4 linked regions of the Macaca mulatta genome follow. The protein of the gene in region 1 purifies or fractionates together with the protein of each later gene. This does not show direct contact. Links are inferred from orthologs where the notes say so. Each region holds a gene or a part of one and is shown in the gene's direction. Other genes may lie near its edges.

Region 1 (4,017 bases):
ACAATGAATGCCGTTGATACCTCCATGCTCTTTGAAGACATGATGCTCCGGCTTTGAAGCGCTGCATTTCTACACTGCTAACCTACAGGAACCTATGTTGAGGTGGTCCCACGGAAATGCACGACTAACAGTTCATCTCTTTCCTCCAGGAACCTTCAGGCTTTACCAAGCATCCTTACCCTAATTATCTAAATCTCTGAGACATAAATTATTTGATGTGGCTAAAAATCCTCCTGCTAGAATTTGAGTCCAATCCTTGTACGTTCTGATACTCGAATTCTTTAACGAAACTGATTACTGAGCTAGGCTGACACATGTCCGCCCGCCAAAATGTCCGCAGAAACGTTAAGAGAAGCTGTCATAAGGCCAGCTTGAGACACATCATAAATGGCCTTCGCTGTCCTTTGAGCTAATTATCTAACACCCGAAGAGAGTGCCGGTTCTAGTTAGAATCCGCGCGTCAGGTTCTCCAACCGTCAGAAGGGCGTGTGTGAGGGCAGGGAGGATTTTAAACCCCGTTTCAGGCCCCCTCCCTAGGCTGTAGGAAACCACCCACTCTGAAGCCCGGCGGGGGAGGAGTGCTGCAGCCAGCTGCCGAGGGAGCGCTCTGCGGCGAGGCCGTTTCCCTGAGTCACGGAGAGGGCGGGAGGCTGCCCCCGTCTGCCCCCGCCACGTCCTCCTGTAAGGGGCTCAGTCCAAACAGGCAGGGGTCGCAGGGGAAGGAAGCGGCACCCGTCATGCCTCAAGGTGGCCCAACAGCCACTTCACTCCCAGGAGACGCCGCATTTCCTTAAAACGCGCTCTCCATTCTGGCAGCAATCAGCCGACCCTTCCCCATCAGTATCACGTGCACCTGGAAGTACGTGGGTGGGACCTAAAGCGCCCACGGAAGTGACGTCGGTCGCTCCGAGTCGCATGATGTGGCAAAATGCAAAAAAAAAAAAAAAAAAGTGGGGGTAGAAAAAGAAGATTGGCGAAAGTGATGAGTCTAAAAAAGTAGTCCCTCCGGTTCCTCTGTTGCCCCCCGTGTGGCGTCAGAAGAGAGGCTCCGGGCGCACAGCGCCCGGAATTCCTGCACCCGCCGCACGCACCGCTCCGTGGAGGGGTACATAAGGCGGAGGGGGTGAGGCGACTGGGCGGAGTTCTGTCGCCGGGATCCTTCCGCTGGGCTCAGCCGTTTCCGGAGTCTGCGCTGCGCCCGGTTCCGCCATTGCGGCTCTCCTGGCCCGTGGAGCCTCCGCCCCCGACCCGAGCTCTTTCGTCTGCGTGCCAGTTTCCTGCGTCCCCGGAGAGGATCCTGCTGAGCCCAGCCTCCCCCCTCCCCTTCTCCTCCTCTCCCTCGGAGAGCCCGGGCAGCCACTGCCCCGCAGCCCCAGTGACAGGAGGAGACCATTCCCCCCGACAGCGCCATGGCCCAGATTCTGCCAATTCGTTTTCAGGAGCATCTCCAGGTGCGGCCGGGCCCGGGCTGGTGAGGGCTGTGGAGAAGGTGGTAGGAATAGTGGAAGAAGCTGGAGTCTGGGCCCCGAGCAGGATCGGAGCTGGAGGGGTGGGGGGGTTGTCGGTCTTTGGGGTAGGTGGAGGAGGGGGCACTATCTTAGAAAGCTTAAACTGTTAAATGATGTGGGGCTTGGATGAAAGGACAGGAGTTGGGGTGCAAAGGGCTGCAAAGACCAGGCCTGGATCCAAAGGCCTCTCGATCTTGCTTCCTGGATGGCCAGAACTGCGCGTACAAACTCTCTCCTCCCCATTTTGTTCAGTTCATTCATTTGGGTAGGGGAGTGGGAGGGGGGATTCTCTCTTGTTTCTACCAGAGCAAGGATTCTTATCCCCTGGGCCAGTGCGGGGCTGTCACCTTCCATTGCTCTCCTCTTTCCCTCTTCGTGTCTGCACCCAGGAGTTGTGGGGCGGGTGGGTTGGGGAGGAGCAACCTTTTTTTTTTCCTCCCTCTGCGGCTCTCAACTGAGAAAGGCACCTTCTCCGGTGGTGGGGGTTGGGGGTGGTGGTGAGGCGGTGGCTTGTCTCTTGCCTTCCTTGAGGCAGTAGGGACAGAAGGTCACTGAAAGAACGAAACGAGGGTAGAATGGGAGAACGCATTTCTCAGAACGATGTCAATCTCAGAGTGTGTGGGGTCGAGCTCCCTAAGGAAACTCGCCTCCCCTTCCCACTTTTTTTATTTCTTTGGGGATGTTGTGGCTCTTAACCCCTCTTTGGTTCTAGAAGGTAGGAAAGAGTGATACAGAGGTTATCTTCTAGTCTTCTCGAGTAGTAGCAGGTAGTTTTGAATATCTTCCTCAGGATCGCATGGAATTGAACAGAGCCCTGGGGACAGAGCACAGCTGCTCTGAGACCTGCGGGGCTATTTGGTCTGTAACTGGCTTCCCTTTAGTAAGTTCTAGAGTTCTTTCCCATGGTTCCTTATCCTGGAGGCAACATATTGTTGTCTCATCTGGCAGCATGCCAATCGCTGGCCTAGGCAGGTGACCATTGGAAGGCTTCACTGAATTAAACCTCTTCAGAGCTTTTGATTTTCCTGTGTCACCAATCCTGATTTTTACTGTAGCTGAAACAATTTATTCCTATTAATTTGCTTTCTTCCCAAATATCCCCTTAAAGAAACCTGCCTCAGCTCTATCGTCTGAAGGGCTAATTCCATAATGACAGAGAATGCAGTGGTTTGACATGACACTAATATCAGTGACTTATTAGACACTTTACCATTGAAGACCATTTTTATTTACATTCCCCCATTGGTATAACATACATAAAAGAGTTTTGTTAATAAAAGGTTTTAATATTCAGGCTATAAGTAACATAATTTCATATTTCTTTGCAGGTATTACCATGTTTGCACTAGCAAGGACTTATTTTCCTTTAAGGCTTGAAATGTAAAGAATAATAAATCTTTACCCATAAAATGAGTCAAATAATGCACTTTCTTCAGTCATCTATAATTTTCAAATAACTCATCTGAAGTAATGGAATATACCTTGGCATATCTTGGCATATATATATAAATATATTTATGCCAATAATAAAAACACTTTTACAGAAGGTTAAAAACGTTAAATAACAAAGTGGATTTTTTTTTAATCAATCCAAGTTTAATTGCTTTAGTTATTTTTGTTAAAGTGGGGTGGCAAATGAATGTGGAGAGTTGAGAAAGTGCTGTTCTTAAGTGTGAGGGGAAAACGCGGGCTTGTTTTCATACTAAGCTGCATCTGAAATATCTTTCTGCAGACAAATGTTTATAAACCACACAAAGAATCAAGTACAGCTGCTGTTTATTTTCCATGGCAGATGTATAGCTCACTACTAAATCTTGTGGTGGTTCGAGTAATAGCTTTTCATTTCTTTTAAAGAGGAGACAAGAATTGTTAAATGATGCCAGAGATTGGAACCCAACCTTGTCACTTATTGAAGACAAATTTAATACATGTCTGTTTTGTAACTGGCTCAGTTTCAGCAGATACTTGAATGAAGCCATTTTCTTCTCAAATAATTTGAAGATTTTGAATATAAAGCAGATTTGCAAATTGAAAATTCAGCCCTCTGTGTTTTGGATTGCTATGTCATGCCTAAAGTTAAGCTTGCTTAGCTAATATGACTGTGTGCTCCAGCTGATTAATTGCAGAGCGCAAATAACTACAGCCTCTTCCATGATAATATATCTCCTGACTTCATTATCTCCTACCTTTTGAAAAATTAATAAGGTTTTTGTTTTTTGAAGAGACAGGGTTTTTGCTGGAGGTCAGTGGCACTGTCACAGGTCACTGCAGCCTTGACCTACTGGGCTCAAGCCATCCTCCCACCTCAGCATCCTGAGTAGTTGGGACTACGGCCATGAGCCACCACACCTGGCTAATTTTTGTATTTTTTGTAGAGATGGGGCTTCACTATGTTGCCCAGGCTAGTCTCGAATTCCTGGGCTCAAGCAATCCTTTGCCTTGGCCTCCCAAAGTGCTGGGATAATAGGTGTGAACCACTGAGCCCAACTAATAAGGATTATTTTAATTG
Region 2 (4,147 bases), on another chromosome or scaffold:
GGTGGTCTCCACATTTCATCTAGAACCAGTCAAAGGCCTTGACCTCGAGCTTAACACAGACCTGAACCTTTGCTCTTCCCGTTTTCCCTTATCAGTAAACAGTCCCACAGCCACCCAGCTGCACAAGTCAGAAGCTTGGAAAACATATTCGACGTCCTCATTCCCTTACATCCATCCATTCCAAGTTCTGATACTTCTGTCTCCTAAATATTCCTCAAATATTTCTCAAAGTGGGCAAAATATTTCTTTGCCCACTTTTTATTTCCCTCTGCTTTGCTACAATCACCTGTCTCCTGGAAGACTACAAAAGACTCACTGGTCTCCCAGCTCCCACTTTTGCACTCACTATCTCCAGGCCATTCTCTGTTACTTGTTTCTATTGTTACTATTATTTTGAGACGGAGTCTCGCTCTGTCGCCCAGGCTGGAGAGCAGTGGCGCGATCTAGGATCACTGCAACCTCCGCCTCCCGGGTTCAAGCGATTGAACCTCCAGCCTCAGCCTCCCGAGTAGCCTATTATTTATTTCTAAAAGTAGGTGATACAGCCATACGATTTAACAATTCCTGCTCTACAGGTCCTCTCTACAGAGTCAACAGGTGCTCTCCATTCCGTGGTCTCCTTCCAGATATTCTGGGCCTCCCTGGGAGCTCACCTGGCCGGATACCTTCCCCCACCCACTTTCCTACAGGGCCAGGGGCCTCCTCGCTCCGCTTGAGACGCTCCATCCAGGCGCTCCCTCCCTATCGTCCGTCTCCCTTGGGCACTGCCCGGCCTCCCAGGCTGGGCTGAGTAGGCCAGTCTCTGGTCAGTCATTCTTCTGTTCCAAAGCTCGAAAGCCTTCGCAGCCCCGAGAATGAAACCCCCTGCTCTCAGCACCGACTCCTTCAGGCCAGGTGGCCCCTCCGCACCCTCTCTTAAGCCAGTTTTCGCGTCATCTCTTCCCAGCGGCCCGCCTGCCACGTCATCTCTACCACAGCACCAGTCCTCCACGGCCCTTGACAATACTTGGGAGGGCAAGTTCATAGGTGAGTTCTCACGCTCTTCCTAGGAGGGAGGAGCGCGGCGGGAGGGGCCGGCAGACGGGCTTGGCCCGGGAGCGGGGAATAAGGTCGCTCCGCGCCTCTCAGTTTAGCAGAGGAAGACTATTAACCCAGAAACCCTTTCGCCTCGGGCTGGCGAGCTCCTCCCCGCCCTACTCCCTCCGCGCGAAAAAGACTGAGCCTGCGCAACAGGGACTGCGCCTGCGCAAAAGACCACGCGGGCGGGGGAGGAAACTGCAACTCCCGGCAGGCAGGTGGTATTTTTCATTCCCTCCCGTGACCAGTGACTTCCGGCGCGAAGGGGCGGGGCTGGGCTCGTGGCTGAGCCAGCAGCTGCAGCAGCTACGGGAGTGGCCGGGTGGCCGGCTGGCGCCAGCCGCCATGGAGGCCGTGCCCCGCATGCCTATGATCTGGCTGGATCTGAAGGAGGCTGGTGACTTCCACTTCCAACCAGCTGTTAAGAAGGTGAGTTTGCCTTCCGTCTTCCCCCCCATCCGCCGCGTATCTCCGTCGTCTGCCAGCGCGTGACGCCCCCTGCGCGCCCACCACCTCAGGCCCCGTCGCAGGGTCCGGTGAGGCCAGGAGGGGCTTCCGCCAGTGTTCCTCAACCTGTCCCACACCCAGGGGCTCGCAGGCCATTCTTCTCCCCGATAGCCCGGTGCTAGCACCTGCATCCTCATCTGAACCCGCTTCCCGACTTCTGCCCCGAGTCATCCGCAGTTCCCACTGAGGCACCACACTTCCTCCTTCTGACGCTCGGGACCCAGTTCTGCCCCGCCCCTCCTCCATGGCTGGACCGCCCCGCGCGGGAGCGGTGGGCGGCCCTGACCGTGCGGATTCTTCTGCTGCGCCCGGCCCTCGGTGCACTGTCAAGTCCACGGCCCTCCTGGGACAGACGCTGGGGATGGCTCAGGGCGTGTGTTTAAGACGTGAGCCCCGGTGACCCAGCGAGATGCCCGACCCGTGCGGTGAGGGTTTGTTTTAAAATTGCTGCGATGCTGTATGGTCTCTCATTCGGGAGTCTCTTTGGACCAAACGATACAATCCCATGACATTTTTAGAGGGTTACTGCTTTTCGTAACCGACTGGAGGGCATAAACAGTGTTGTAGAGCTTAGAGAAATCTTACTGTGTTGGAAGAACAGACGGGCAGGTTTGGCGTTGACTAAGGCAAGGAACTTATGTGGAGAGGTCCAGGTATGGTGATTGAACACAGGTGCCCTCTGAGACATCCGCTGTGTTGGTAGCACTGAGGGCTAGATAGAGCAGAAGTGAAAAGGAACAACCAGGAGGCTGTCGCAGGTGGGGGGCCTTGTGGGCATAGCACAGCAGATGCCAGAGTAAGCCCCAGTCTAGATGGTGCACCACTTAGCGAGATGCTTGGGAAAACAAATAGGAAAAAGAAAATGGGTTTTGAAGTAGTTTCCCAAGAAGCTATCTCCCCTCTTCTCTCCATACACCATTGCCTTAGTTCAGACAGTGTTTGAGTCCATCATTTAGCCTCTTGGGCCCAGGAAATGAGGCTAATTGATCCAAACTTCTAGAATTTTGTTAACTGTTATCCATACGTTACTCTCTTCATCTGCTGCTGTTTTTTTTTTTTTTTTTTTTTTTTTGAGACGGAGTTTCGCTCTTGTTGCCCAGGCTGGAGTGCAGTGGTGCGATCTTGGCTCACCGCAACCCCCGCCTCCCGGGTTCAAGCAATTCTCCTGCCTCATCCTCCCGAGTAGCTGGGATTATAGGCATGCGCCACCATGCCTGACTAATTTTGTATTTTTAGTAGAGACGGGGTTTCGCCATGTTGGTCAGACTGGTCTTGAACTCCCGACCTCAGGTGACCCGCCTGCCTCGGCCTCCCAAAGTGCTGGGATTACAGGCCTTCTTCTGCTCTTTCATAAAAATACAATTGGATGAATTTTTCTAAGACACAACAAAACTCCTGTTTTCTTTCCTTCCTTCCTTCCTTCCTTCCTTCCTTCCTTCCTTCCTTCCTTCCTTCCTTCCTTCCTTCCTTCCTTCCTTCCTTCCTTCCTTCCTTCCTTCCTTCCTTCCTTCCCTCCTTCCTTCCCTCCCTCCCTCCCTCCCTCCTTCCTTCCTTCCTTCCTTCCTTCCTTCCTTTGTTTTTGAGACAGAGTCTCATCTGTCACCCAGGCTGGAGTGCAGTGGCGCCATCTCGGCTCACTGCAAGCTCCACCTCCTGGGTTCACACCATTCTCCTACCTCAGCCTCCCAAGTAGCTGGGACTGCAGGCGCCCGCCAGCACGCCCGGCTAATTTTTTGTATTTTTAGTAGAGACGGGGTTTCATCATGTTAGCCAGGATGGTCTCCTGACCTCGTGATCTACCTGCTTCGGCCTCCTAAAGTGCTGGGATTATAGGCGTGAGCCACTGCGCCAGGCCAAAACTCCTGTTTTCTATTTTACAGAATGGAGCCAGTATCTTTTTTTTTTTTTTTTTTTGAGATGGAGTCTTGGAATAGAGCCAGTATCTTTACTTTTCCATTAGAGTTCTTCCAGAGTTATCCCAGTTCTTTCAGCATTTATTGAGTCCCCACTGTGTTCTTCATCTACTGTGTGCATCTGATAGAGGTACCCTAGATTCTGTTCGCAGTCACTTGTTGTTTCCTTACCATACTGTTTCCTCTTCTGTGCCTTTGGTCATGGAATTCCTCCTGCCTAGAAGAGCTCTCATTTTGCCCTGTGGGGTGGTGAGGTGCCCTTCTTCAATCTCTGTGAATTCGTTTTCTTGTCTCCCATCCAACTTTCAAGGTCCAGCTTAAGCTCTCCTTTCTGCAGAGCCTTTCTTAATCTTCCTACCTGGATTAATCTTTCTTTTCTCTTAATTCCTTAACTCTTTTCATCCTTTCCCTGGTGACAGTTATGTATACCGTGTTTTAACCCCGCTGTTCAAGTGTGCGTTACCTGAGAAGTATCCCTGTGTTCCCCAGAGCCTAACAGTGTACCCTCTACATAGTTGGCAGTCAGAAAAATCTTTCTCAAATGATTGAATGACAGCTGAGAGGAAATTTAGAGATGGTGACCATAAATATATGGGAATGCAGTGGATAAGATCTTGGCCCACAAACTCCTAGGACGTATTTTTGTTTGA
Region 3 (3,562 bases), on another chromosome or scaffold:
TTATAGACAGCCAGCCATAAGAGCTGGCTGTCTCTCTCAGTCATTAACTATATTTTGAAATCTTGTACCATGAATAATAGGTGCTTTTTTTCTTTTAGGACATGGTTCTTCTTGGAGAATATGTTCATATTCATTTTCTTCATGAGATTGCTCTTTTTGAAATTCTTCTATGATCCCTGTGATTGTGATTTTGGGGATTTTAGATGTTAGGGATTTTAATTGAGGAATTTTGACCTTTTGGGATTTCAACATTTGAGATTATGGATTTTGGGATTAGGATTTCAAACCCCTTTGACATACTGGGCTAAGCTGCTTTTGTGTGTGGTTTGGCCAGGTCATAGCAGTTACATAGCTGGCCCAAAACAAAAGTGAGGGACAGAACATTTTGGGGTTGCCTAAGGATCTGTGGCAAACCTTTAATTGTTGGGAACTGTGTGGGAATCAGTAACTTGATTACATTTACAGTTGCCCCTCATACTCATCAGAGTACCTGAAATAGTGCTAGGCACATGAAAAGAATTCAGTAATTTTTTCCTTATTAGTAGGAAAGGAAAATTATTTTGGCCTAATGAAAAAGAATCATGCAAACAGAGATTATTTTTGAGATATTTTGTTAGACAATTGTGAACATAGATAAAAAGAGAACTATTAATATAAAAAGAAAAAAGCAGAATCTCTTTTTCCCATCATTTTCCAAATATAAATATATTACTGTAGTTTAATACGTTCAGCTTTACACATTGCATTATGATAGAAAACACATTATAATAAAATTATCTGTTACACCATTCATTTGTGGACTGTGTTCTACAGTGGTACTGAAGTCAGTCACCGGGCAGGGATCTTTGTGGAATGTTAATAGGAAGCTCTGAAAAAAAAGTTGATGGCCAGATCATCCTAGGAAATTCTGAGTAACTGAAGTTAAGTAGATTTCTTTGCTGTAGGATTCTCAGAGGCTTCACTCTGTGTGTTCATTGTGAACCTCCAAACAGAAGTGTAGTGTACGGCTTTTCATACACTCATTTGACAGGTAAATCCTTTTTTCAGGACATACCTATTCAGTATGTTGCCTAAGACAGTTTAGGAGGTAGCCGTGTAGCATAATAAGGAAATAATGCATTTAAAATGTAAGCCTAACCAGATACATGATATTGTAACTATGCAGTGGGTTCTCCTTGCCCACTACCTAGACAGAGCTGATTTATCAAGATGGGAATTGCAGTAGAGAAAGAGTAATTCACGTAGAGCTGGCTGTGTGGGAGACTGGAGTTTTATGATTACTCAAATCAGTCTCTCTGAAAACTCGGAGATCTGAGTTTTTAAGGATAATTTGGTAGGTAGGGGCTTGGGTTGGAGATGAAATCATAGGGGGTCAAAGTTGAGTTTTTCTTGCTTTCTTCCGTTCATGAGTGGGATCATAGAACTGGCTGGGCCAGATTACCTATCTGGGTGGCATCAGCTGGTGCATTGGAAGGTCTGCAAAATATCTCAAGCACTGATGTTAGGTTTTACAAATGTGATGTTATATATGGGAGCAATTTAGGGAGGTGGCTGTGTGGCTCCTAAACAGTAATTTCTAATCTTGGAGCCAATTTGTTAGTCCTGCAAAGGCTGACTGGTTCCCCAGGCAAGAAGTGGGTTTATTTTGGGAAAGGGCTATTAACGTGTTTGTTTCAAAGTTAAACTATATAAACTAAATTCCTTCCTAAGACTAGTTTGGCCCACACCCAGGAATGAACAAGGACAGCTTAGAGGTTAGAAGCAAGATGGACTTGGTTAGGTCAGATTTCTTTTACGTAATTTCCTTCATTGTAAATTTTACGCAGGTGGTTTCAATATCTTTTTATTTTAAGAAGAATAAGAAATTATAGAAATGTTAAAACTGGCTGGGCATGGTGGCTTACGCCTGTAATCCTAGCCCTTTGGGAGGCTGAGGTGGGAGAATCACTTGAGGTCACGAATTTGAGACCAACCTGGCCAACATGGCAAAACCCTGGCTCAAATAAAAATACAAAAATTAGCCTGGCATGGCGTGTGCCTGTAGTCCCACCTACTCAGGAGGCTGAGGCATGAGAATCGCTTGAACCCGGGGGGTGGAGGTTGCAGTGAGCCAAGATCATGCCATTGCACTCCAGCCTGGGTTGAGACTCTGTCAAAACGAAAACAAACAAAAAAATGTTAAAACTTTCTGTTTTTGATATCTGATATATAATACAAGATTTTATGTTTCTTGAGAATTACTTTATGAAAATGAGTTTTTAAAAATATATGTTAGATTTAAACTGAATAATTTTCTATCATTTTCTCTTACACATAGTGAAAAACAAAATAAAATATCGAGCTGAAGCCTGCATTAAAATGCAAAAAACTATTCGAATGTGGCTTTGCAAGAGGAGACACAAACCTCGGTAAGATGAATAGTCCCTAAAAAGAACTCTACAAAACCTAGTTACTGTAATACAAAATGATAATAAAGTCATAATAAAAAGCAGTTTGGATACTCAAGGAGTTTTCTCACGTTCTTCGTAAGATGATATATTAGTCTTCTATTTGTAATATTTATTTGAAATTAGTTAATTCATTTATTACCTTATTACTTGCCTCATTCTATAAAAGGATTTGAAGTGGCATACGAAAATGTGTAAAGATTATAAAACAAGAAATAAGTGTTGAGAGAAGCTCTTTTATTCCGATTATTTTAGTTATTTGAGTTTCTTGATAATGTCAAGGTGACTTTTTTTTAAAAAAACTCACTAATGTATTTACCAAAATTTTCAAGATTATCTGTAGGAATTACATTGTCCCATTATAAATTAGTCTTTATTTCTTATTTGAATCTTTCATTTTTAATTTAGACTTAAAAATTGGAAGTCTGAATATCTATTGATCCATCACACCTTTTCAAAGAGACTTAGATAACTCCTTTAAGGTCCTCTGTGATTTGAATTCTCAAAGTTGTAGAAGGCTTTAATCCTGTTGACAGGCATCAGTGTCATTCACACTCATATTTGATTTTTTAAGCCTTCAACAAAAGATCTGAAAAAGAGAATACTAGATAATATTGAAAACGGAAGTGAAATACCCTGTTTAGCATTTTATAAATGAAAAATCTGCCAAAAGTATTAAATGATGAAATTAGGCTCTAATGAAGTATTATTTTTACAGCATTGATGGCCTGGTTAAGGTGGGCACACTGAAAAAACGACTTGATAAATTTAATGAGGTAGTCAGTGTGTTGAAAGATGGAAAACCGGAGATGAATAAACAGATCAAGGATCTGGAAATTTCTATTGATGCTTTGATGGCCAAAATTAAGGTATGTAATTTTAACCCAAATGACTTTGACTTTTTACATAATTTAATATATTTTGTTACTGGTATTGAAATTGTATAGTAAAGGTCCTTAGTTTTTCAAAATTACAAAATGTGTTGAGACCCAATGATGGCAAGTAGATGCTCATCATATTACCTCTACTCTTAATGTTTGAAAAATTTCATAGCAAAAAGTTAAAGAAGATAATTTTTATGCCATTTGTTCTGTTGCTAAGAAAGATATTCCCCA
Region 4 (3,990 bases), on another chromosome or scaffold:
TATTATTATTTACTCTAAATTGGTAGCAGTTTAGGGTATTTTTGGAAGATAAAGCTTTTGCAAAGGTAGGAGTGAAGCCTTGAGTGCTGGTTCAAAAATTAGAAGTGCCTGTATTCAGTCACTTAATGACTTCAGACCTTGACTATGATTTGAGAGGGGTCAGATCTTCATCCTGCCACATCGTGGCTTCTGGCCAGAGGCTGGGAAGGACTGTAACATTTGCAACCAGATCTGCCCTTTCTCACCCTTCCTTCCTCCCATGACAGGCACAGTCCTGCCCAAAGAAGGCAGCAGTTTATCTCTGCAAGAACCAAGCAGGCCTTTAATGTTTGAGGGTTGGCTCTGTCTCCTCAGCTTGGATGTAAAGATTCTGTTTATCAAAGAAGGGATTTCAAATCCCATGTCAAACTGAATTCAACTCTTTGAACATCTTCTAAGCAACATATATGCCTGTCACTAGAAGGCATGCACAATCGCATAGGTATAGCTAAGGAGAACATCGGCTCATTCATGAAAAGCTGTAGCTGACCTCGAGGAAGAGTGTACAGTCATGGACATATTTGTGAAAAGGTTTAGTTTCTTCCCGAGTGGTCTCCTCTTTGCTCCCCGCTCCTCTCCTTGGGTCTTGATCCCTTGGAAAAAGCCCATGTCCGGAATAAATATATGAGAAAAGCTTGGGAGAATCAGAGGTAGTGTTAGAAAGCAGTAAATTCAGCACAAACACTTATACTGCCAAGTTGTATTTATTTGTGTGCAAAGTGAGGACAGCCAGTCCTGGGACTCTGGAAACAGAAAAGGCCTACAGCAATCCCAGGCTTAACAGATGTGCTTCTACAAATGGCATTAATATTCCAAAACTCCAAAACACAAATAGGAACAGGAGGAAGTGCAGGGACTACAATTCCCAGAGCGCTCAGTGAAAAAAAAAAAAAAAAATGAGGCCGGTGGAGCGGTGTATGCTGGAATGTGTATTTCTGGTAGGGCCGGCTAAGGCCACGCCTACCCCTTCCTGAGGCAGGGACGGTTTCTCGAAAGCAGTCGGTAGTTGTAGTTTTGCTAAACCTAGAGCGCTTCAAATAGCAAGCAAGGAGGCCGCGAGGCCTGACGGGATTTGTAGTCGGCGCGAGAGGCGGGCGCGCACGCGCAGCCGGGACCGGGGCGGGGCCGCGGCACTGCGGTGAAAGCCGAGGCAGCGGGCAGACGAGCAGGGGGCGGGCGGACATCTTGGGATCCGGAGAGTGGCCGGGCCGGCAGAGAAGGGGCCTCGGGACACCAGGTGAGCCGGGGATCTGGCCTTATGGCGTGGGGGAGGACGCCGCGGGTCGTCTGCTTCGCCGCCCAGCTTTGTCCTGCCCTGCGCTGAGCTGGCAGAAAGCTGCCCACACCCGGGAGTGGCTTCAGCCTTCAGACCCGGGAGCTGGCTGACGGTGGGGCGGGGGCGCCCGGGGCGAGGTTGCAGGGCTGGCTGGGAGCGGTGCCCTCCACCTGACCCGCCTGGCGCCTCCCATGAGAGGGATACCGCCTGAAATTCTCCCAGAGCAGGAACGCTGCGCAGCGCCCCCTCCCTAGGATAGTGCCAACCCCCTACCCCTCCGCGCAAGGACAATTTCCCCGTCTCGTAGGACAGTGACACCCCCTTGTTCCGCCTCCTTGCACCGTGACAGATCTCACACCATGCGGCCCCCCCTCCTCTCAGTTCAGTGACATCCCGCGGCTCTTCTTCCTTAGACCTGTGACGGCCCCCGCGCCCCATGGCACCATCTTTTCCCACGATGTCTCCCCAAGGCGAAAAGCCCACCACCCCCTCATTACTCTGCACCTGAACCCCAAGCAGGCTCTGTCTCCCCAGCTTTCCCTTATTCACTACCGTCAATTTCCCCCTGCTGGTTTTTCCTTCTTAAAGCCTTGACCTTTTCCATACTGGAAACCCTTACCTTTAGGTGCACTCCACCAGCCCAGTTTGCTGCTGTGGGCTCACCTGAGGACGCTGCCTGGCTGTCACTGCCGGTCTTTACCCTTAACTAAATGTTCCATTCCTGCCCAAGGCCCCACCTCTGGTTCTCGGGTGCCCTTCCCTACCTACCACTCGATATACCTGTGGACTTGGTTCTTTGCCCCAGGCTCTACCTCCATTTTGCATCTCCTCTACCAGCCTGTTTGGGACTGAGGAATGGGATGAGTCCACCACCTTGAGAGGCCGCTCACCCCTCTGGAAGACCTTGACAGCCACAGGAAAAGGCTTTATTTTCCAGTTTAGAAAAGTCTTCTAAAGTACTCCCTGTGAAATTAATACCAGAGCTAATCCAGGAAATCTAAAAGCAAATTAATGCCTTTTCTCAAGCAGTCTAAATTAATTTGACCCAAATAATTTGGATAATTCAGGCATCCTGAAATCCCTGCTTCTTGTTTATAGGCACCCAGGCCAGAAATGAGTTACTTGATGGGCCTGGAATCACGATTTCAGATGGAAGGATTTCTTAATTTTATGAGCCTGCACTACCCCCACCCCCCCAGTCCTTACTTTTATTGCATTCCAGAGCTTTTTGAAAGGGGGGTGGTAGTCAGAAATAACTGTAATAAGCAGCTTAGGTGATGGAGGTGTAGTCTGCCAGCACTAGGACCTTCCTCCTTTGCCCTTTGCCTGCTTATTCCACTGCCTGGAAGAGGTTAAGCCACACTCCCGGGTCCACATTAGGGCCTAAGGGCTCCCTTCTCTTCTCCTCACACCCTTTCTTGGAATGTTTGAATTCTGTGAATTAGAGTGCCGGAAGTTCAGGCCCTGCGACCTTCTCTGAAGGGTAGTGGAGCCCGAGAGACTGGATGCTCTAAAGGTTATGCCTGGGGGCCCCAGGCCTGAACCAACTGGAGTAATTCCTACCGCCATTCCTGCAGCAGCAGGCAGGCAGGCCTTAGTGACTCACTGGCCGGAGCCTGAGAGTCTGCACAGGAGGAGGCCGAAAAGGATCATTCCTGAGCTCAGTGCTGGAGAGAGGGGGCGGGGTTGCTGATGCTCAGCCCCAGGAAACGGAGGGTCAAAATGGCCTTAGAGTCCTGAGCCTAATCTCTCTCAGTTTCTTTCTCCCATCCAGTGTGGAATAAACAGGAACTGGAGCCTAGCTGAGGGGAGGGGCATGTCTGGGAGGGCTGCAGGGTCACTTGCTAAAGGGTTGAGTCAGGAAAAAAGCTCCAGTGATCTGCACAGCTCCACAGGGGATGTTGGCAGGGATTCTGAGGTCTTCTTTTACCCCGCCCCCGCCTGTCCTAGGTCTGTTCTCAGAGCAATGGGCCGCGGAGACTGATCTGCCGCCATGATTGGAGGCTTATTCATCTATAATCACAAGGGGGAGGTGCTCATCTCTCGAGTCTACCGAGATGACATCGGGTGAGTCCTCTGGCAGAGCCAGCTGTGCCCCACCACTCCAGCCCCCGAGCCCCAGCATGCAGGATTAGGTCTCTTCTCACCAGAGGCTTGACTTGGACCACCCTGACCCCTGGCTGCACCCTGGAAGCTCAGCTAGTGTAGCCTGGCTCCCATTAGGTCTGGTGGTATTCACCCGGCAGCCAGCCTGCTGGCCCCTAGGTGGGACCCGTGGAATGGCATGGTCCCACAGCTTTAGGAACGCCTGCCCTTCCTGCATCCTGTTTCTCTATACAGGCCTGGTTGCTGGAGATGAGTGCCTTTGCCCAGGCTGGTGAATTTCTTCTTTGAGGAGAAGGAGAAATATCTCTAGTGGGTGGGGTTAGTGGCCAGGCTGGAGACACTAATCCATCTAAGCCTTGCTCTGAGAAGCCCTTCTCATATCAAGCGCCTTCACTGGATTCTATTGAAAGCCTCTCCAGGCTACCCAATCCTCTCCTGCTCCCTTTCTCAGGAGTCAGGCTGCTGACTCAGCTGTCTTCAGTTCCTCTGGGCCATTCCTGGGGGAGAGGCTGGGAGGGAGCGTGAGGCACTCTCTGGGTCACTAAGAAAGGGCAGGGAGGCCATGCTAC

The links.
Region 2: the proteins of CLTC (region 1) and PTPN23 purify together in Homo sapiens (affinity purification with mass spectrometry; 3 studies listed by BioGRID and IntAct, with this or other methods). This does not show direct contact. The link is inferred for Macaca mulatta from reciprocal best matches to the Homo sapiens genes CLTC and PTPN23.
Region 3: the proteins of CLTC (region 1) and MYO6 purify together in Homo sapiens (affinity purification with western blotting; 4 studies listed by BioGRID and IntAct, with this or other methods). This does not show direct contact. The link is inferred for Macaca mulatta from reciprocal best matches to the Homo sapiens genes CLTC and MYO6.
Region 4: the proteins of CLTC (region 1) and AP2M1 purify together in Homo sapiens (affinity purification with mass spectrometry; 3 studies listed by BioGRID and IntAct, with this or other methods). This does not show direct contact. The link is inferred for Macaca mulatta from reciprocal best matches to the Homo sapiens genes CLTC and AP2M1.

Annotation. Positions count from the first base shown.
Region 1 is NC_133421.1:50,365,014-50,369,030, reverse strand, and holds the start of CLTC (clathrin heavy chain 1), read left to right. Parts: upstream 1-1,172; 5' UTR 1,173-1,409; coding exon 1,410-1,451; intron 1,452-4,017. UniProt on the Homo sapiens protein: Clathrin is the major protein of the polyhedral coat of coated pits and vesicles. Two different adapter protein complexes link the clathrin lattice either to the plasma membrane or to the trans-Golgi network.
Region 2 is NC_133407.1:110,738,266-110,742,412, forward strand, and holds the start of PTPN23 (tyrosine-protein phosphatase non-receptor type 23), read left to right. Parts: upstream 1-1,326; 5' UTR 1,327-1,422; coding exon 1,423-1,506; exon of another isoform or gene 1,507-2,009; intron 2,010-4,147. UniProt on the Homo sapiens protein: Plays a role in sorting of endocytic ubiquitinated cargos into multivesicular bodies (MVBs) via its interaction with the ESCRT-I complex (endosomal sorting complex required for transport I), and possibly also other ESCRT complexes.
Region 3 is NC_133409.1:109,847,297-109,850,858, reverse strand, and holds part of MYO6 (unconventional myosin-VI), read left to right. Parts: intron 1-2,317; coding exon 2,318-2,408; intron 2,409-3,165; coding exon 3,166-3,316; intron 3,317-3,562. UniProt on the Homo sapiens protein: Myosins are actin-based motor molecules with ATPase activity. Unconventional myosins serve in intracellular movements. Myosin 6 is a reverse-direction motor protein that moves towards the minus-end of actin filaments.
Region 4 is NC_133407.1:96,309,456-96,313,445, forward strand, and holds the start of AP2M1 (AP-2 complex subunit mu), read left to right. Parts: upstream 1-1,160; 5' UTR 1,161-1,276; intron 1,277-3,265; 5' UTR 3,266-3,308; coding exon 3,309-3,382; intron 3,383-3,872; coding exon of another isoform or gene 3,873-3,947; intron 3,948-3,990.